2 linked regions of the Styela clava genome follow. The protein of the gene in region 2 purifies or fractionates together with the protein of the main gene of each other region. This does not show direct contact. Links are inferred from orthologs where the notes say so. Each region holds a gene or a part of one and is shown on either strand. Other genes may lie near its edges.

What was found. Proteins that work in one complex are often made in the same cells at the same time.
Region 1: the proteins of exocyst complex component 1-like (region 2) and exocyst complex component 8-like purify together in Homo sapiens (affinity purification with mass spectrometry; 3 studies listed by BioGRID and IntAct, counting the BioPlex papers as one, with this or other methods). This does not show direct contact. The link is inferred for Styela clava from reciprocal best matches to the Homo sapiens genes EXOC1 and EXOC8.

What each region holds. Positions count from the first base shown.
Region 1 is NC_135260.1:14,958,779-14,969,774, forward strand, and holds exocyst complex component 8-like, read right to left. Parts: upstream 4,543-10,996; 5' UTR 4,495-4,542; coding exon 2,395-4,494; 3' UTR 1,177-2,394; downstream 1-1,176. Other genes in the region: hyaluronidase-like, read right to left, coding at 1-1,103; ciliary microtubule inner protein 1-like, read left to right, coding at 6,007-6,080, 6,264-6,345, 6,635-6,898; uncharacterized protein LOC120347828, read right to left, coding at 8,824-8,953, 9,589-9,647, 9,973-10,081, 10,920-10,996. UniProt on the Homo sapiens protein: Component of the exocyst complex involved in the docking of exocytic vesicles with fusion sites on the plasma membrane.
Region 2 is NC_135261.1:10,510,502-10,522,230, reverse strand, and holds the start of exocyst complex component 1-like, read right to left. Parts: upstream 6,663-11,729; 5' UTR 6,516-6,662; coding exon 6,392-6,515; intron 4,057-6,391; exon of another isoform or gene 3,609-4,056; coding exon of another isoform or gene 3,571-3,608; intron 3,126-3,570; coding exon of another isoform or gene 2,087-3,125; intron 1,887-2,086; coding exon of another isoform or gene 1,747-1,886; intron 1,517-1,746; coding exon of another isoform or gene 1,441-1,516; exon of another isoform or gene 1,411-1,440; intron 959-1,410; exon of another isoform or gene 622-958; intron 239-621; exon of another isoform or gene 185-238; coding exon of another isoform or gene 1-184. Other genes in the region: cleavage and polyadenylation specificity factor subunit 6-like, read right to left, coding at 1-184; uncharacterized protein LOC120329417, read left to right, coding at 1,441-1,516, 1,747-1,886, 2,087-3,125, 3,571-3,608; 60S ribosome subunit biogenesis protein NIP7 homolog, read left to right, coding at 6,899-6,954, 9,088-9,313, 9,986-10,126, 10,307-10,426; peroxisomal membrane protein PEX13-like, read right to left, coding at 10,521-11,630.

The DNA.
Region 1 (10,996 bases), on a different chromosome or scaffold from region 2:
TTATCTACAAATTTAGAAATAACGCATCTACCATGACCATTACAGTTATCCTTACTGCAACGTGTGGCAGCGTCAGACAACTTTTTACAGTAGGGACCAAGAAAGTTATCTATATAGTTACTAAGATTTTGACAAGCCTCAATTGAATTACCCATATTATTTCCACCCCAAAATATAACTCCCGATTCACCAAGAACCGCTGCAATGCCAATACTATCTAGAAGATCTTGAGAGTCCAAAAATTTAATTGTCTTTTTATATGATAGCATATGATATGAAAATACAGGAGCACTAACATTACTAAACCTTGCATCATCAACTCTCATTGCTTCTTGAATTCTATTTGCAACATAATTTTTAACGAAGTCTTTGTCTTTGTAAAATTCAGGTAAATATACAGAAGGATACAATGTGGTGCTTTCATCAAAAAGCCATTGTATTTCAGTATTTTTCTTCATTTCCAAATTTGAGCAGATCATATCTTTTTTAGTCATGTTGTAATAACGACAATCTGGATACAAATAATAACCCCACAATGCATGAGGCCTCAAAATCTCTCCAAGTACTAGTATTGGTTTTAAAATTCTTTCTGTCGCTAAGTTATATTCCAATGTCGCCCACCGAAGTTGTTGTGCTTCGTTCCAATCAGGGTGTTTATGTTTTATCGATTCTATTGATTTTTGTTGATATATCTTCATCAATGAATCACCCATTCTACTGAATAATGCTCGCCATAATTCACAGTCCAGAATAGCTAAACCCTGAAAGTCCTTATCTGGTATAAGTTTATTCACAGTGATCTCAAAGTCAGTTAAAATTGATTTTAAATTTGCCGCTTGCGGTAGACCACCATTGACAGCTTGTCCTGTTTTCCGATCAAAATATGGAAATTTGGACAAATTGTTTTGATAAAATATAACAAGATTTTCACCCAATTGTCCTTTGTTCTTGTTGTGGATAATATCAAAATAGTCTAAGTTCAGTTTTACCCCAAATTTTTCTTCACATAAATCGCTCGAAACATCCCATACAAATACAAAAGGTTTGTCGACGAGTGGAGGATTGTGGATGAAAGGTTTGCTTTCAATGTAGTCTCTCTTCATGTGGCATGTAGACAAAGTAATCCAACACAAAATGAAGGCCAAGCCTAATATTCTAAACATTTTATCCTGATACTCTAAATATAAGTACAGATAATATTGAAAAATGAACAGTGCCATATAGTAGTATAGAGTATAGGCTCAAATAGTAAATATTTATCAGTTTTATTTGCTTTAATTTAATTAACAATTCAAATCATAAAAAGCAGATCTTACATATAATTGATACAAAATCACATGAAATGGGCCAGATTCAAAACATTGAATAGAGATGGAATGAAAGTGCAATAATCAACAACTCTCAATAACTATATTTTTTATCAACGGCAAACCATCGAAATGTTTTTATGCAGAAATCTTCAATTTAAACGATTGTAAATCAGTTCCATCAAAAATTACCGACATCTATTATAATGTGTATTAAAACATATTGCACAAATTCTGGAGCCATATAAAATGAAACAAATTCTAAATTAATTTAAAATTGGTTGACAAAAAAACTACTCAGAAGTCCGCAATACGTAGCAGAATCATGTTATAAAGTCACTAAAAACAATAGCGCATTAAATGAAGATTCACAATAGCACAAATCTGAATAATAGAGAGTTGAAGAGGATTATACTTGGTAGATATTGAAATTGAATTTGATCTAATGTGGCTGTTTGTTGCGACAGACAATATGTCTCAAAATCCTGAATAATAGCAAAAAAATAATTTTTTTGAATGCATTTCTATCATTTCACATTGATTAAATCAAGTGATATACAGCTCACTTATTTATGAGTGCTTCTCAACATCCGTATATATTTTTTAGCGAATGAAAATCATATTATCATTTCAATATTATTCTTTATCAAAACAGGCAGTGATTGAAAATAATGTAGTTGAAGTACAGTATCTACCGGTATATCTCCCCCAAATCTACTTTCACAAATATTATTGTTCGAAGCAAATTTCTCTTTCGTAGTGAATGAAAGTCAATTTTTAATTCGAATATCATCCTTTATTACAACAGGCAGTGATTGAAAAAAATGTCAGTGGGGTACACAACATATCTCCCCCGTATCTATTTTAAAAAAATTATTGTTCAATCATATTCCTTGTCTATTCATCAGCACCTGGGGGAATAATTACTGACAGAACAATTCAACCCAACATAGTTGTACAGTTTCCATCATATTATAATGCGAATCAGGCATAATAGAAATAATTTGAGCATGATACAAAGTAAAAAAATATACAACCTAGCTTTCATAGTATTTGGAACAATTTTCAAGCAAAAAAAAGTTCTCCACTAACTAGAAGTTTGTTTAATAAAATCTCTTCTCAGATCAGTGAGTTGTTTAGGAATTTGTAAAACACATTTTTGAATTTTGTTTTCTATCAGTGGCAACAATGACTCGGCAACAAACATGGCATTACGTTTGATGAGCCGTGCTTTCTCAGGTCTTTCCTGTTCACAGCGGAGACAACCAGCAACAAAATCAGTGTAGCATCGTTCGATTTCTTCAACAGAATCAAGAAGAAGTTTTTGAATTTCCGGTAGGTACATTTTTATCACACTGTCCACATGAATAACAATGGCTCTTGTAAAAGCTAATGTTGAAAGTGTGAGATAGCAGAAGCAATCATCAAAGCAATATTGACCAATGTTTAAAATTCCATATCCAGTCATTTCTTCTTGTATTTTCAAAAGAGCCTGTGGTGTCTTAGCATTAGTTGGTTTCCACAATTCTTCAGAGCTACGTAGCTTAATAGCATCAATCAATTTTTGCTTATGATCTATGATTGTTGATTCAATGTCTTGTACAAGTAGTGAAGTAACAGCAAAATCCAAATCTAATCCAATGATATGAACAGCCTTGCTTTGAGAAAACACAGTTTTTGTGCAGTCTCCTATTTCAGCAATATCAGCTTTTCTAGTGAAAACTTGTTGCGAAATTTTTCCAACAAATACTTTAATCTCCGTTTGTGACCAAACGACAAAAGTAGAGTAACAACCCGGATGATCTTTAAAAGCAGTTTCAAATTCTTTGAGTGTTTCTTTTAGATTGTTAAAAAAAACTTTACACATTTTAGCAATGTATAATTGAAGATATCCCTCCGTTCTTAATTGTTTAAGAGCATATGAAACTGCACTAGAGCGATTGTGTAGGAATAACTGACAGGCTTTGGTACTTTCCCCAAGCTTAATGAGAAGCAAAACAGGATTCCGTGCTGCTCTGGGACCACCACGATGACTTCGATCAGGAGCAGTTTGTAGTTCTTTGGTCAACACACTCACAAGTTGAGACGTTCTTGCTGATAACTTAGCATCGACTTCTTTCTTTGTTGCACTTTCACCAATGCCATCTAAAAAGGCTTTTGTCTTTAACACTAATTCTACAGCTTCTTTGAAATATCGCTGGGCAATGTAAACATCTAAATCTTCAGGCATTTCTTGAATCCAAACCTCATTTAATTTATCATTATCCAGTGATGCATTTCCTTCCATCTTTTTTGACCCTGATGATTTACCAGGCGATTCAGAAAAAGGATTAAACGGATCTAAATTTGGTGACATAGGAGTTGTAGGTGACACAGGGGAATTATGTTCTCTGTCTGCCAAAAACTTTTTCTTTGTTTCTTCTAAAATGTCAAGCCATTCTCTTTTTTCCTTTGAACTTTCACATTGAAACATATTGGAATCAGGAAAAATCAAAATCTTGAAAGCACATTTGACTGGTCCAGCATCTCGAGCATTGATAACGGCCAGATTTTCCAAATCAAAAAGACATTCAAATTTATATTTACCAGGGACTGGTTGTCCTCTTCTTAAACCAGCCCAGGTTGTCACCATCAACGCATCATTAAAAAGAAATAGATGAACTTTACGAATGGGAGAAAAATTATCCATATCAAGCTCTGAAAGATCACCATCATGAATAAGAAATCTAGTAGAAACATCAGTGATATCTGGACACCCTTGAACTTTCTCTACTAAAGATCTCATAACTTTACGTTGCTCATCTTTTTTGATATTTTCTTTGCTTTTTTTTTCATTTGCACCATACTGTGGCTGTTCTTTTATAAGAAAAATATTTGCCATCGAATCCATAAGATTCTTTTGCTCTGTTAATATATGATTGAGCTGAAACATTTCACCCTCAACGTAAGAAATTTCTTTTGCAGTTTCAATGAATTGCTCATAGTATTTATAGACTTGTTTCTTCAAAATATGAGCAGTTTCTTCACCCAATGTCTGTACTCTCTGTTTGTGCTCCTGTAGATCTTTATCTCCATCTGATTGGGCACTGATGCTCTTTGCATATTGCTTTGGATCAAAGTTTCTGTGTCCAATCGTCTTTGCTAAAGCAGTAGACTTTTTAGGCACAGGTTGAGAAGCACTTTCCATTCTAATATGACAATTATTTATAACAGTGCTAAAACATTGTCAAATAAAGATTACTTGTTTGAAATTTGAACTTTAGAAGGAGCAAAAGAGAAATGTAAGTTAAACTAATAAATTCATGTGTTTGAGTTCTAAACTTCTAGATTGTGCTTAGGAATTGTTTTTCATAACCAGGATTGCGTATAGCACCTCCCCCTTAAAAAATCAAGCCGATATTACAAAAAATGTTGACATTTTGCTGCTGATACTATATTATAAAGTATTTCGCTCTTGTCTGCTTGTAAACTATAGAGCATGGTTATTAAGCACAAATCAATGTCCTATAAAGAAACATTTAAAATAAATTTATGTTCTCAATTTTATATCAAAACGGATACGTAATCATCCAAAATTATGTCACTACGACATCACAGTGACGAAATAAGGCATGCCAAAATATAAGAACTGTCGTCTAAAAGGAAATCATGCCCTCAAAATCGAGAAATGATACAAAGATGAGGAAACACAGAAACAAGAGCGAGTACCGGTATGAGTATGACGATGTATACATACTTTGTAGGGGTCTCGTGTAGTTTCGTACCTAACGTACTTCTAGTGGGCGTAGCATAACAATTTTTTGATATGTCAATCCTAACCCCCATCTGACTACGCCATCGAAAAATTGAATCGACGATGAAGAACTGACTGATGTTATCGATCTCGCTCCTATTGGAATCGTTGCGACGAGAAAACGAGAGAAGTAACTGTTCGATTTCGTGTGCTCGTTTGCGCGTCTTGGATGGCAGTTCGTATAGTTTGAAGGGCTCTATTACGTCACTGTGACGTCGTAATGACGTACTTTTTGGATGGTGTAGTCAGGTGGGGGTTAGGATTGAAACGAGGAAAAATTGTCATGCTACGCCCACTAGAAGTATGTTAGGTACGAAACTACATGAGACCCACTTTCTGACTTTGTAGCTTGCTCAACTTGCAGACTTGGGTGATCGTTTGCCTGTTTTGAGCCTTTGTCCTGTATATTTTGTATTTTCGTGGACCCTGAACCCTCTCTCCTACTGTCCTGTTAGAACAATTACCAGTACTGAATTATGACTCAATAATTGAGTACGGTAGGGAATTTATAATACGGTACCGGTAATGCTATTTGTGAATACTGAAATGAGCTACTCATTTAACAATCGTTAAGATAGAATAAATTTTCCATATCTATTCCAGATGACTTCAAAACGTCAAATACTGAAATATAATTTATGAATAAGATTTACCGTACCAATATACTGATATACCGATTCAATGCACTCGAAAATCTTTTGAAATACGCAAAGGAAATCACTACCGTATCTGACTATGCAAAACGTAAAAATTTAGTCTGGGAAGTTAAACGTTTTGGGGTGAAAGGTCGGCCGATTTTATTCCGTCATGAGCTCACTAGGTGGCGATTATAGTCACCATAGTAACTGTATCAGCTGATCGCTTGCAAGTCTTGTCACAATTTCTTCTGAGTGACTTTTTCCAAAAATGGCTGCTGCTGCTGCGGGGAAGGTAGGGAGGCAAGTTGCCGGCTGCAACTACGTAGCCAACGATGAGATTTGGTGAGTGAGAGTCGGATATCGGAAAAGTCATACCGGTATACCAGACAATGTGTCATTTGCAGTATGCAACACATTTTATAGACAGTAGCCTGCCTATCACCAGTAGTGTCTAACGTTATTCATATGATCTCTGTATCTAGTCAGTAGACTATCATAATTTTCACTGGAGTTGCTTTGTTTCAGGAAAAGTCATGTTCATATGGAGTGGTCAGCATCGAGGAAATGGCCTCAGAATTGGGGTTTCATGACCCAAACTTATAGAGAGGTATGAATTGTAATTTTCATAAATGATCTGCAATCTTTTACATTATTGTATTGTTTTTTGTTATTAATTGTATTGATTAACAAATGTGCATTTAAGATTCTAGAAATGATCAATTATGTGATATGAACCGGTATACTGATTTTAACTGCAAAAACTGATTTACACAGTTTTGTAACAAATTGTGTTTGTATAGGTGAGCAATCTCAGTCCATTGTACCCACTGTACTGTGATTGAACCTTGATAAAATAGCTATCGTTGTTTTAATAAAATATGCTTCAACTATTGCAGCTGGCAGAAGATGGTGAAACAGAGGAAGAAAAACCGTCAAAACCCAAAGTAGAACTTCCAGAACAGCTGAGGTTACCTCCGATCACACCAATTGAAAAATACATAAAAGTTGGAAAATCACCACCATATCCAGGAACTACAACAAGAATGATTGGCTGGCGATCGACAAAACGAGACTGCAGTCTTGAAATATATGGACCGTATGCCAAAGGCAAGGGTGGGCTTGTTAAACAGCTCAACTGGCCACAAGAAGGAATTATATAAATATTTTTTATTATTTTAATTAGTGTGATAAATTTTTAGTTGAATATTTTTTTTTGACTTAGCCTGCACGGTACAACACTTTTAGTGCAATTTACACAATATCTTCTTTCAAATTCCGGCAGAATTATGTATAGGGTGTCTTCTCACTTCACTAACCTAATTCATATGTCACACTTTTCAACTGTATCAATGAAACTAATACTCGTTAGCTATTATAATTTAGTTGTCTGCAACTCATACAAATTATGTCCTCAAGTTTCACAGCCTATACACAAGTTTTCTTAGTATTATGCACTTGCCATATTTTCAATGAGATTATGTAGTTGATATCTGAAGCACTGCTTCCAATGTAATGCCATTTTGTATTAATCGTAGCACATATATATTTAATAATGCACAGTTATCTAATAAAGTTGGTATGCATGTTGATGATACTTGTATTTCTATGAATTCAACTTGGCAAGAGTTTGTTGGCAAGTGCTCACAATGAACAGTAGCCTTGGTTGGTGCCTTTCTGACATAGCATTTTTCCTTCAAATCAGCTTGAAATAATATTTTCAAAATTTAGAGGAAACAATGCATTGCTGATGTTAACAGAAACTTTTGAACAACGTTGTTAAGGGATTGCCACCAAACTTCTTTGGTGAATTTAAGGCGAAATTACTATTACACCATATAACAAGGCAATCATATAAAGTCTGTATATTCAATTGGCAGCTGTGAAAGGGATAAACTTTAGGCTTTAGTATCATCAAATCAAAATTTTAGGGATGATGTTCGTTTATGTAACACAGCCAACCGAACATATTGCAAAGCTACTAATCACTTCAAAGGCACTATGCAATCGCTGGCGAAGATAGACTGTTCAATATCAGTTGGTTGATTGCTCCGGTGTTGAAAATACACCTCTGACAGCGGCATACATTGATCAAAGGAAGTGGAATAACACTTTTATATTATTTAATTTTATCTTTTTATGAACAAAACTTAGTTTAGTTAAGGTTAGTCTATTGCCTCGTAAATTCTATTTCTACCTTAGTTCAGTTAAGGTTAGTCAGTGACTCGCAAATTTTTAAGATCTCCCGCGATGTTTTTTCAGGTCCCAATGTCCAGCAACGATTTAATAGATGAATACTCAAACTCAACATGAGTTATTTGTTTTGCCAACTGCAAAATGTTTTCATCGCACATCATGCCATACATCTTTAAGCTTCAAACATTAGGAAGTTAGTGGCTCTTTCACTGAAACATATCTCTGAGCAACTACAATATCTGATACCGAAAAGCTAAAATGATTGATGGTATTCAACCAATTACCAGTATCTATAGTTACCACAGACTATGCTTTACAAGATCTATTTATTAACATACAGAACGTGTATCTGAGAAGCAGAAAAAAAAAATAAGTTGATGGAATTACAATAAACTGGAATAAATTTTGATTTCTCAAAAAAAGGTAAAGACTACTACATTACTATCATCACTAGCACAGTGGGAAAAAAAACAGAATAATACAATATATGAATATCACTGTGTTATAAAGAAAGTACCATTAATGACAGAGCTCAGTGCTTTATAGTACAGCTTAGAGCTATGTCTATATGATATTTCATAATAAATTCAAAGATGCGAAACTCATAGTCTAAGCAAGAGTCCTGGAATCAAATTTTTTGTTACATACTTTAAAGAGACGAAGAATGTCTCAATGTTAACCTATTAGGCAGTACTTATAACGGTACTTGTTTCTTTTGCAATCATCATAGTGGTTTAAAATATTACATACACAATATAGAAACATTTGATACCATTTTCAAACGACAAAGTCTTCAGAAATCCACCTCCACACAGTTCCAATTCTTCTTTGGTTTTATACCAAGTAAAAATTTAGCATGAATCATGTTTTGTAATTAGTGATCAAGCAAAGATTAGATTCCACGTCCTAGCAACTTCACAGAAAGATTGAAATTTGTTTCAGTTTGAATGACAAGAGTTCCCTCAAACTCTCCCTTTGCAGTTGGTTTGAAGGTGACTGGCAGACAAGCATATGACATCGGCCTTAAATTCATATTTGAAGTAAAGTTAATGTACTTAAGTTAAATGTGTTTCACTGCACAGACCTATCTGCCCCAACCAGAATACAAAGACATTGTTAGTTGTCATCTTATAATTATGAGGCATTGGGATTTTTGTTTTACAGTATTACAGTACCCACAATCTAGAATCAAGCTGTCAATACCTAGTCAGTGGCCTGAAAATTTTAGAAGACCAAAAAAGTCGCTAATAAGAAGTGCAATTTTTACAAGGATAATTTTGTTGAAATCACCCACTTTTTATCAGCGTAACATGGTTATTTAGGCGGTGAACAATTTATTTTGATTATCTATATTTCAGCAAGTTCCCTTTTCTCAGAAGCATGTCGAGTGAAAAAACGCAATATTATGCGATCATTGGCAATATATTATGCTCAGTTGCCCTTGGGAAGTACACCATAGTCACTGTAGCTAAAATGGTCATATATGCACACAATGTACTTTCTTTTAATTTTTAAACTGCCGTCCGTACGTATACTCTTTTCGGATTACGATGATACATAACTAATCAATTTAAAGTATGCTCAATTTCGGAAACGCTAAATGTAGATTTCAAACCCCGCCTTTGAATTACTTTCAAACTTAAAAAGTAACTTTTACCTGATAGTATGTCGCTGATGTGTGATGTGAAATGGAGGTCGAACATTGATGAATTTAACCTGAACAATTAAATAATGTTTAAGAATTTTAAATAAAAAAAATATTGTTAAATAAATCTATTCATATTGAACCAAATCACACGTATATAAATAAGACACAGAAAAGAAAAAATAGGAAAACTAGTAAGCAAAACTGGGGAATACAATACACAGAATAGTGAAACAATGAACAATGCATTTTATAAGACCTTTCAAATGAAAAAATGAAATGAAATTAGAAAAACATCAAAAATTGAATGCAAAGATTTTCGACAGCATTTAAACCGGGTCAACATATTTACGGTGTTTATGCCGAACTTGGAAGAAAAAAAAATTACAATCATACATTGTGAGACTCCTTGCTCCTATTTTTCACCGGAATCTTCAACACAGATGATTCATTTACAGGAACATCTGAAAATTTCACTTGATCTTCAGAGACATAAATTCCGTTTCTGTAAAATATACGAAATAGCATCAACAATACATTTGTTTTGCAATGATAGTGAAAGACAATATCTGATAAATTTTCCTATGTAAGCATTGACATAATTAGGAACAAGATTTGCACACATATAAAAAGAAGAAGTCAGTGCAAAAATTCACACATAAAAAACCGCGAAAATAAAGCAAACTTATTTTTATATGAAGCTAATTCACATCTTTTGCTTCGAACAAGGTCGTCACTGATATCGATATATATTATATATGTCGAGCTACTTAATAACCGGAAGGACATGGAATCTTTCTGGTTCGAAAAGGCCCAGCCAATTTAATACACCATGGGTGATGTCAGTCAGTCACTAGTTTATTTATTCACATACCAAAAATACAAGCGTGCATCAACAGTGAAGTAAAATAAAAATAATGTATTTCGGGATGAATGGAGAAGCAATAAACCAGTATTGGTTATCGAGCATTGTCACCTATGAAAGAGCCTAACTTTGAATCGTATAAAGATAAAAAAAGCCGAACAATATTCACTAACAGTAGCCACCCTTTCATAAGTATGTTCAAGGTGAACTGGTGGTTCCAGTATCGCTTGTGGTAAGGGGAGAGAACGATTCCAGGCATGACTGGCGGGGTAACCATGGCAACCTCAATAGATGGAATAACAAATGAAAGGTGGCTAGTTTTTGTGTGTATGGGGGGGGGGGGAGATTTTACCCTACGATGCCACTGAAGAGTGCTAACTTGGGACATCAACCAAATGGATGTTTTAAATATGCTGAACAGTTCATATATCAATGTCTCTAAACTGTGCAAATTTGCTATAATTATTTAATAACCAACCCTTCTTTTGTTTTGTTCATATTTTGACTTTGCATTACAGGTTTCATCGATTTTATTCCTTGTCCAACAACTTGTAT
Region 2 (11,729 bases):
CCCCCTGGGTCTTATCGCTTCCATGTTGAACGCTGTGCATGCCGTTAGAATGGATGGTCGCTCTGCTCGACGGTTGCAACATATCATCATACAAATCCACGTTGCCCTGGGTATACAGTCCGTCGTCCTGAGCAAATTCGTGGTCAACGTCTGCATAAAGATCTATATCAACACCGTCAGTCATATCGCTAAATAAATCGACCTTAATATACAATAAATTCAAGACATGAACAAAATGACACTGACAAAAGTAAAACTACAAAATCACAATCACAAACGCGCGCGCAACTAAGCCACACAAAAATACACGCTGAAAATGGCGATAGCGCTAGCGCGACGCACGCTAGACAGAGAGAAAAAAGGTTCCCACAATGCTGTTCGGCAGATAAACTGCGAGCCTTGATTGCCTGCTAATCGCGGGAAAAGGCGCCGTATTTCGTTTGATCTTTACCCATTTTAATTAAAAGAATAGCATAATTTGTCACCTCAGTATATCATGCTGTGAAAGCCAATGCCTAGCAGTGACAATCAAGCACATAGTTTTAAACTATTTAGTCGCCATTGTATGAAATATTTCATCCAATCGGGGGTCATTTTCAACATATCTCTCAGCTTAGAACGTAATATACTAACCGGTACTGTAGTTTAATCAAAACTAGGTTGTAAAATTGCATTTGAATATTGCAATATAAAAAAACAAGCAAGTTGCAATTTGTAGCGTAATTCTGCGAAATATCGCGTTAGCGGAGCGTCGTGAAACAGAAGCACTTCGGGCGGAACAAGCACGTGATTAATTAGTTCGACCCCGTTGTAAACACAGACGTCCTATGCTTTAACAGTATATGGGGGTTGTGTTTACTAAATGGAAGCGGAATATTGCGTCCTAACTGTCGAATAAATGACTACGGTGGAGTATTAAGGGTACCAGTGGTGCGATGGTTGTCAAATATACTGATAAGTACGTTGAAGCACTTCTAAAAGACCGAATTTCTGTCTTTGCTAACAACTTAGGAAGTTACTGATATATGTATGTGTCATGCAGCATCGGCTGATTGGTATGGGACTGAAAGAGTCCATACCCCAAATGGAACTCGTAATCGGGCGAAAGGCCGGTTCATAATATCCGCCTATGATTAATCAACTTTCCTCTCACAGGAATAAATATGAAAATCTCATTATTCACTTGTTACTGCTCAGCTTGTCAGGTTAGGATGGTTTTTGGGAAGATATTTAAGAGCTTACTAGTTCTATTAAAAAACATGTGGATATTAAAAGCCCATGACCATATTTTGAGTAGTCTATGTCATTAAATACAGTTGGGGTTAAATTGAGTATTTTGAAAATTAACAATGATAACATTTTTTTAAATCAACAATTTCATCAAATGACACAACGCTTTTACTTTAACAGCTTTCAAACTCTTAATCAAAACTCGTTAAAATGTCTGCAAACCTGTCAGAGATGATAGCTAAAGCATCAACACAATTTACCTCTGATATTGTGAAGGCAATAGAAGGTAGGTTCACATTTTCCAAATGATGGTTATTATGTGCTACCTACTTTGGTGGTTGGATTGATATTATAAAACAGAAAAAGTTTTTTATAAACGCAATAATGATATACAGGTACTTTCAATATCAAAATATTGATTTTTTGTCATACTAAAATTACCGTAATTTTCACCCAATAAGCCTGAAAATACGGTATTTCCCTAAGTTCCTACTTCAAACTACCTTTTTTTCTAAGATGCTGAATTCCAAATGGATGACATCGATCAACTAACTAGAGAAGATGTGAATGAGGAATTCAGAGGATTTCGCTTTGGAATCAGAAAAGAATTGTGGTTATTTTTTAAAGCATTCAAGAGAAGTCCTCCTAAATTACAGGTATGGCATCAGGGCTTCTAGAATGCTTATTTATCTTAATCTTCTTGTTCTACTTGGATTTAACAATTTTAGTTTATTGAGGAAATTGAATTCTGCTGTGAAACATAAATAAATTTTATATTATGATATTTTTCAATATAGATATGCATCATGAAAGGTGACAATACACTCACTCAAAAAAATAAATTTTTTTTTTGTAGGAAGCAAGAACAACGAAGACTATTCTTAATGAAAATATACAAGAAGAAAGAGATCCGTGCATCATTAAGAAAGTTACTTCAGTTTCATCTCCGAATATGTTTTCAAATTACTTTCGTAAAAATGCACAAACCCCCGAGGGTCTTGTTCCAATATCTTCCGATGATGAAGCCGAATCCTCGAATTCATCTATATTTGGGCCTTCCTCACCAATACATAATAAGATCGTACCTAAGTCCCCTAAAAGTCCTAATACATTTTTCATTCCCTATCCTGGAAATATAACATCACCTTTCCCACTAAGCCAAATTCTCAAAGAGTCTTTAGTGGGCATTAACAGTATTAAGCGAAATGATTCTGTGTTTAACAGCCTTGTGGCTGAAGTTCATAACACTTTGAAAAACAGTCTTGGACCAAATATATCAGAAGGTGATTTACGATATACAGCAGCCATGTTATGTGTTGAATACCCAGGCCTTCGCAGTGAAGGAGAGGATGGTTGGACAATGCTTTACTCAGCTTTAAAAGACTGGAATTCTCTCCATGTGACATCACAAAGTCCCATTGACCTGCATGATAATTCCAATCCTGATGATGAGGTATCGGATGGTCCTGAAACCTCTAGTACAATGACCTTCCAAAACCAGAAGAAAAGCTATCTTGCTTCTAAAAATGCATCTCCTTTGCCTTACCCTAATGGTATAACTTGGCCTTTTCCTTTAAACGTATCGCTACGGGAATATATGTCAAAGGGATATGACATCTTAAATAATACGAACAGAAAAGCATTCCAAGAATTAGTGAGAGATATTTCAACTATTCTCAAAAATGTTCTCGGACGAAATCCTGACCAATACGAAGTAAAGTGTACAGTTACTAACCTATGCTCTGAGTACCCGGTTCTTTGTCAAAATGGATTAAGATACTCCCCTACACTACATCGGGCGATAAGAAAGAAATTCAATAACATGGATTATAAAAAAAGAAGTCAGACACAGATTTATCCTCCACATGATGCCCATATAGTTAAAATTGAAGAAGGTACATATTCTTTTTTTTTATAAGTTTGTTACAACCAGTGCATGATTGTTCAATTTCTTTTGAAGCCTCTGGTTGAACTATCGTTGAAATTTGTTCCCCCGAATTATGCACCGCAATGTACTTGGATAATAATATTTGAGTGTGTCAGAGATTATTTCGTATCTGCCTGCCTTGAAAACTTTGACATGAAATTATCAAACCTATTAAAATCAATGCATAGAGTAGGTATGGATGGATATATCAAATGTTTTGCTAGACTCAGGTTGCTTATGTGCACAAAAAGATGAGTTCACACATAGTATTGATTACCATAGGTCGTAGATGTGAGACATCCTGCATAACATACCCAGCATTGCTAGTCTGGTATTATTCAGTCTACATCACTAAGAGATTATTCAGAATGGTATGCTATCTCATCCATAAAGTATTATATTATTATCTATAGGCCTTCCATCAAAACGACAATGTACTGAAGATGAGTAACAAGCATGAAGAGTGAGGAAATTGCCATGTTTCAATGCCAGGCAATCCAGCGAACCTCTTAGTCTTATACAATGAAGTTATCTGCAACTGGCAAGGATTTACTTTAAAGCACACGATGGGTTATGATTAGTATCAACCTGTTTTATACACAATCATAAATTCTGTTGTACAGTAGATCTAAGAGCGTTCATTTTAGCTTTTACAAAATTTTACTATGCTATGTCAATTTTTTATTGAGTCAACAGAAGTTTCCCTGAATTTGTGTGACCATTTTATACATACTTGCCTACCGTAAGTCAATTTTAAGTCTTGCCCCTATCTTTTTATCAATTATTTATTTTTCCTTTTACATTTCGTTTCAAATTCGTGCAAGTGTGTTGTGTAATCATGCTTTTAATTATTCTTTATTGAAATTATACAGGTATTAAAATATCAACACTTGAAGGCATTTGGTAGTGATGGACCGGTGGTTCCTAACAATTTTCGGTAAAAGAGTCATGTTATGCTGAATATCACAGAAAATCATAGTTCATTTGGTTTGGTCATTCCGCTTTTAGGTTCAGGTTACATTTCAATTAGCCTGAAGAAGTTAGACCAGTGGTAGGTAAACTTGATGTACTAGTGGGCCAAATATACATATCCCCAGAAGCGTGCGGGCCGTGTACAAATAATCACCACATCATACTATAAATTGCGACACACTCGTTATTCCTGTCTGTCACAATGGGGCAGTGTTCGAATAATGCTTAACAAAGAAATATTTATCGTCCAATGTCGCCAACTTTTACAAATTAAACTTATAATAACAACTATCTGTAGGCACAATCAGAAAGTAAACATCTCTACTTACTAAAAAACAATCACCGTACAGCAGCCAGTGTTAGGACATGAATCTGTGTGCAGACAATACTAAGTATATGAACAATTTGTTTTAAGCATTAATAGTGTTGAAAGCCACAAAAACATATAACGATTAGAATCACATTTAGCATAGGGAATAAGCAGTATCAGAGGTTGGGCGTCACACATTACATTTCAAACTGATAAATAATTTGTGGAAACAGGACACACAATTATTAGAAATCCCATATCTGAGTACAATTCTGGCAATCAAGTATTCTGAAATACTAAAATTTTCCTGAATATTGTAAAATGTAATAAAATTAGTTATTTCTTCAATCACCTCTCATAGAGGGTTCATTTATTTGATCCTCATTTACAAGCAATATATAAGATTTACATATTTATCCTGGGGGAGGAGAAAGCCAATAGGACAGCTTAATCCTATGCCGAATCAGGGCCTCGAGTGTGGGATTAGTTGGACAGTTATATGCATGGTCGAGGAAGCTGTGAACCAGGTGGCGCAGAGTCCACAATCCCGTCGCACATGATAATCCCACACGGAATTCGAAACTGCGAATCCAAGCAGGGTAATCGGATGTGCAGTAGCAAGCGTTTTCTCAATGCCTCGGCTCAGCATGAAGTGCCACACCGTCAGGCCATAAGAATTTTATATATACTGCTTCTAAAGGCACATGCATAACTTGTAAGCAATCGTTTCTTACAGAACAATGAGCAATATGGCCAATCCTACTCTACCTGGAATTATTTTTGGATGGCGGAGAAAGTAACAACAGACCAGTCAGAAATCTGCTCTTGCATAATTATCCCCATGAAGGCTCTGAGTGATGAGCAGTGGCATGGCAATCATGATTCAAGCACGATGAACCAACTGACAAATCAAATTACTAATCGAAAGGTTCAGACACATGGTCTTGAATAGTGAAAGGAATCATACTCAATTAGTACATATTATGATTGTGCAACACAGTATTCCAACCTCTGAACCTGCAGTTTGACTGTCGTGGCATTGTCAAGTGTGTCCTTGACAACCCATTCTGTCATTATTCCACTCTGAATATTAGCTAAAGAATGCATGGAAGTAAAAAACATTAGCTTGACTTATATTAACTTTTTACGTAAATTATATACATGTAATATCACAATGGTCCCCAAGCTTGAAGCCCGATCAAACTTGTCATGTTTGTTTCACTCTCAATTAATGCTGTAATGTTTTTTGACTAGTTCGTATCAGCAATACTCTGTTTACAATGATTACATTGCTCAATATTGCATGATTAACTTCAGTTGGATTGATAGAAAAATAGGATGGGATTTACATATTTATCCCAGGGGAGGAAAGGCGATAAGAAGGCTTAACCATATGGCGAACCACGGCCTCTCGTCTGGTTGCCATTTCATGTCAGGCATGGGAATAGTTGGTTATTTGTTTTCGGAAGCATGGACTTGATGGTGGAGGCAGCCGTAACCGACCAGGGGTTACATGAACCACCGTACGGTGGCGAGGAGTCCAGCAATCCTCTCGCACATAACTATCCCCGCATGGGATTTGAGCCTGCGAATCCATGCAGAGTAATCAGAGGTACCGGTGGTGAGTGTATTCCTTGCGGCCGTGCCAGTGGTTTAACTAAAATGTACAATCAAAAAGCTGGAAAACTAGTCTTCGTTAGCTTTTTCAGACTTTTAAGAATCAAAATAAACTTGTGACCATAAAAGGAGAGGCTTGCCTTGTGAATTAGAGTGCAGCGGGTATTCATAATTTCAGTAATTTAGCAATTTCAGTATTTGTAAATAAAATGACAAAAGGACAAAACTCTATAGCAAAAAGTGGTATTCAGGATCTAAACACACAAAAAACTTTCACGAAAACACCTTATATCATTTGGATACTATACCTTATACATATAGCATAGATTACTAACCTGAAGCACATAAAAAAGATGACTTCTTTTTCTTTCCCGTTTTAGCAACGTGAACAACGCCCAACAATCTTTCATCATTTGGGGTGAATAAATCCCTTTGCAAGGCGTGTTTTATCGCCGTCATATTCAAAATTATTTCTCATTAAACTGAACTAAACCAAATTGAACAATTATATATGGCTCCAGAAAATAATTCTCCACAAGCAGACAAACAGCCGATTTCGTTTCAAGACAAAAACTTTAGCTGACCGTCTGGGATAATAAATTACGGACCGAAGGCATCCCGACAATAAGCAAAAAAGCAACCCGCATAAATCAGCTCTTTACCAAAATATTATAAAAAGCGGACCACGTGATACGTGATTTAGTATTTTAGTAGATTCTAATGAAGCCAGCTATTTACTACAAACACGTTTCGCGAGTAGCGGCAGTGATATTTTCTGATTTTCGTGCACAGCTTCACGTCTTGCCCCGGTTTCAACGTCTCTGACAAATAATAAACTGACTATGCGTCCTTTAACAGAAGATGAGACAAAAACGTTGTTTGAAAAACTTGCAAAATAGTAAGTACATATAAAGATATTTATATATATGATGTTCTAATTCTTGGTATTGCTGAATTGTTAGGGTCGGAAGGTTTTGTGTAGCATGAGTGGACTATTAGACTAGGCTATACCGGTACCGGTACCGGTAGTTCACTAAAACAATAAAACGGGAACATGAAATATTTTTCTGTTTCTGTGGTAGGCCTATATTACTACTGTATTGAGTCAGTAGAACAGTCGATTTTGACGATTGGGTGGTGTGGCTCATCTTGCTAAGCGTTAGGAATACGCTCTCTCCACGGCCTCTCGTCCGGTTACCAGTCCAGGTCGGGTATGCGATTAGTTAGCTAGCCAGTTATTTGTTTTCGGAAGCATGGACTTGATGGTGGAGGAAGCCTGCGAACCCACGCGAGGTAATCGGAGATGCGGTGGCAATCCTCCACCATCCAGTCCATGCTTCCGAAAACAAATAGCTGGCTAACTAATCCCATACCCGACCTGGACTGGTAACCAGACGAGAGGCCGTGGTTCGCCATATGATTTAAAAGCTTTAATATTGGCTTTCCTTCCCTCCGGGATAAATATGTAAATCCTATCCTAATATCCTCGCCACCGCACCTCTGATTACTGGATAACTCTGCGTGGGTTCGAATCCCATGCAGGGATAGTTATGTGCGAGAGGATTGCTGGACTTCTCGCCTCCGTAGCGTGGTTCACGGCTTCCTCCACCATCAAGTACATGCTTCCGAAAACAAATAACTAACTAATCCCATACCCGACATGGAATGGTAACCGGACAAGAGGCCGTGGTTTGCCATATGGCTAAGCTGTCTTATTCCTCTCCCATGGGATAAATATGTAAAAATTATTCTATCCTAAATTTTTATGTTTTTTTATTAATAATTAAATAAAAGTCTGTCAGGCGCAGAATGAAATTTTCGCCATAGACGCATTTAGTTAAAATCAAACCTACCCAATTTCAACTAAGCAGGTATTTCCTATGGCAAAAAGGATATAGTGTTCCCTGTGAGACATATTTCTACTAGAAAAAATAAAAGTTTGGATGTTTTTTTCTCGTCACAATTTTGTTTGGCACTATAAGCAGTCACAGCGTTTAATTCACTGGGCCCGTAATTTCAGGGTTACCGTTTTTCAAAAGAGCAACATGATTTTTTCTTACTCAGTCATTGCGATATGTCATTCTGTTAGGTACAATACATGCACAAACAGAACTTCAAGCGTAAACAATGAAAAAAAGTTCGAAAAAGAAAATATACGGGTTCTGTTTTTTTTTCTGGGTGGGGGCGAGGTGTTGGTAGGGTCACCCTGTATGTTTGAAGCCCATTTTATGCAAGTTTACTCAAAGCAACAATATCAACCTTATTCCAAAAGTTATATGAATACAGAAGAAAGAATGGCAAACACCGGTACTCTCAGTTCTTGCTGTAACTCTCTTAAATACCATTATACATTTACTTAAGCTATCATGATAACTGTGACATCTTACATGTTTGCATTCTTTTTTATCATGGCCAACAGAATTTTATTGCTCTGAAACTTTTATGATACTTTATTTCTACTGCTTCTACTACAATTTTTTTTAAATAATTTCACATAAAACTTGAATACCACTTTCCAAATAACTTGCGGGTAATGACTCTGATGAGATAATTTTGACGACCGATGCAATGGCATTTGCGACTCGTAACCTTCTAAATATACTTTCAAGCAAAGACATAATCAGAGAGTGGCTCGAATTTTCACTCAATAAAAGACATTGCATTTTAGCTGGCTATTGAAGATCTCAATTCCAATTCTAGGGTCTAGCTAAGTAAATGCCGAAACTCTTCAAAATAACGCCAAACAAAAAAGTAATGTGTGTGTTTGTTTAAAAAAAAAATTGTCTGTTTGGGGTGAAATGAAGTTCTTGACAGATGCGTTTAGTTGAACAAAATTTTTCAACTAAGCAGGTTTATCTCATGCCAAATAGGGTATAGCGTTCTGTGGGAGACAGACTTTTAAAAAAATTTAGGCTATTTTTATTTTTTACATCACATTTTCTTTTGGCGACATTCAAGCCCTTATGACAAATACATCGTTAGACCCCAATTCTTCCGAAAAATGTGACATTTAAATTTTTAATTGTTTCAGTATTGGGGAGAACATCAAATTATTGATTGATCGTCCAGATGGAGTATACTGCTTCAGACTTCACAGAGATCGAGTATATTATGTATCTGAAGAAATTATGAAAAGAGCGACTAACGTTTGCAGAGAAAATTTAATCAGCTTTGGCGTGTGCTTTGGAAAATTTACAAAAACAAAGAAATTTAGGCTCCATGTCACTGCACTTGATTATTTAGCGCCTTATGCAAAGGTAAGATTATGAGATAAAAGCAGGTATCATGGAGCAAAAGTCATCAATGACGTATCAATTGGAATTTTTGATTTGATTGTGCAATAATCAAAAATTAGTCCAGGAAAAGCTGCAATTGACTAGGCTAAACCGAGCAAGCGGTTGTATATTTTAATAAAAATAATGGGTTTGATCATGTAAATCAGTTTCTAAGTGTCAACTCTCCAAAACACTCACAAAATAAGCATCCAAAATTTTGCGATAATTACTAAGTTATATAGAATTTTTCTGGGGTCAAGGGCCGGAGAAACATCCATAACACTTGTGATACTCTGTTCCCATTGTGTGAATTTAGATTCAGCTCAATTGCCCTGACATTTTTGTGGCCCATTGTTCCAAGGAGTGTAGTACCCACGCCACAATACATCTCTTGATTTCCTACAATGCTTATTACTTCATCTGTATTGTGAATAATGAAGCCTGTTCTTATTATTTGAAGAATATTTACACAACAGTCATACATTGCAAAATAATTGAAGTTGAACATAAAAAGAAATGTAAAATAATATTGTAGTTGATTAATAGTCCATACACCAATACATACATGCCGCATAATTAGAATTGACACAAGTGCAAATGCAATAATAACCATCATTGTTTGAGAATATCAAATAATGTCAATTACTTTTTCAGTTCAAAGTTTGGGTGAAACCAGGTGCAGAACAATCATTTTTATATGGAAATCACATATTAAAATCAGGATTAGGAAGAATTACTGAAGGAACTCCTAAATATCAAGGCATAGTGTTATATTCAATGAATGATATACCTTTGGTAAGTAGTAAAGGTATAACGTGTAATAAAAAGACTTGTCTCTTGCTTTCCTGAATTTGTATCCATTATGTATTTTATATTGCAGGCTATTCAAAAAACATCTAAATTGACAATTTTTGTTGGGATATCTCATGAACTAATTGTTTAAAGATTTTTCATGTAATCGCCTTTCTTTTATAGGGATTTGGTGTAGCAGCAAAATCGACAGCCGAATGCAGGCATGCGGATCCTATGTCAATCATTGCTTTTCATCAAGCGGATATTGGAGAATATCTTCGTAATGAAGACACTTTAACATGAAATTATACAATGAAAAAAAATTTACTTTAAATTGCATTTTTATTGAAACGGGTGATTTGCATATTACAAAGATTGAGAGTTTACGAGTAGTTTGTCATGTAGGTGGTGCCGAAGCTTCAGGTTGGCCATTCTCAGCTGATTCTGGTTGTCTTCCCTTTCGACGGCCTAATACCTTAACATAAGTTGCAGGAACCATCCCTACATTTGTACCATCTAAAGATGCCATAAGCCAATTCTGTATATGTGGTTGTTGGTCTTTTGGTGCAAGGTTTAACAGGTCGCCAACTTTCACAGTTAGTTCATCATCATTATCAGCTTCAAAATCATATTCTACTCTAGCAACAACATGATCTGATAATCCGCTTGCCCATGGTGTCTGAGGCTTTTGTACATTGCCTGTTCCACTCAATAATTTCCAAATCAAGTAAGGGCCTCCTATAACAACAGACATGAAAAGAAGTATGGGCCACGATCTTGATTTCTTCTTCTGTGGTATAACATCAGAGTCTGTTTTGACCGTATCCCATGCCTCTTCACATGATCCTCCCAAGTTTAGAAATGCCAAAGCTCGGCGATATAAAAATCGTATCAAACGGAAGACTGCGATAGAAGAAAGAATATCAGCAAATGTTGCCCTCACCCTCGAAAATTGATCTGCTACATCAAGCACAGCTCGGAATGAGCTGTAAACAGCCCCGAGTGTAGATTCTAACATAGCAGAAACGGATGTGAATGCTCTCACAATACTTTCAACAGATTGAAATGCATTTCTAGTGCTTTCTTCTGCTTGTCTAGCAAATCCTCCCGGTGCACCATATGATCTATTGTAGGAACCGTACATACCCCCACCACCATAACCCCCATACATTCCGCTCCCCATTCCACCACCATACATCCCTCCATATCCAGTACCATAGCCATAGGAACCATATCCTCCATATGAAGGCTGATAACCCATTGGAGTCATAGTACGCTGGGATGGTCTATTGGGAACAGGAGGCGGCGACCTTTTTCTCGCCTGATCAGTTGCTGTCAATGAAGCATCTACAACAGGTGGATTTGAGATAGAATGCAATGGTCCAATATTACCAGCACTTTGAGTCCGGTTTATCTCCCAAGGTTTTATTGGTGGATCAGCCATTATTTTATTAGATATTGTATAACTAGGAAATAAAGCTATTTGGTCATAACCTAAGACAAACATGATACAAATTATGTGTATTGATTGCAGTATTGTGTATATCAGAAGCTAAAACTAACAATTCTAGTACGATTTCAGCAACTTTGAACTTGCGAAGAAAAA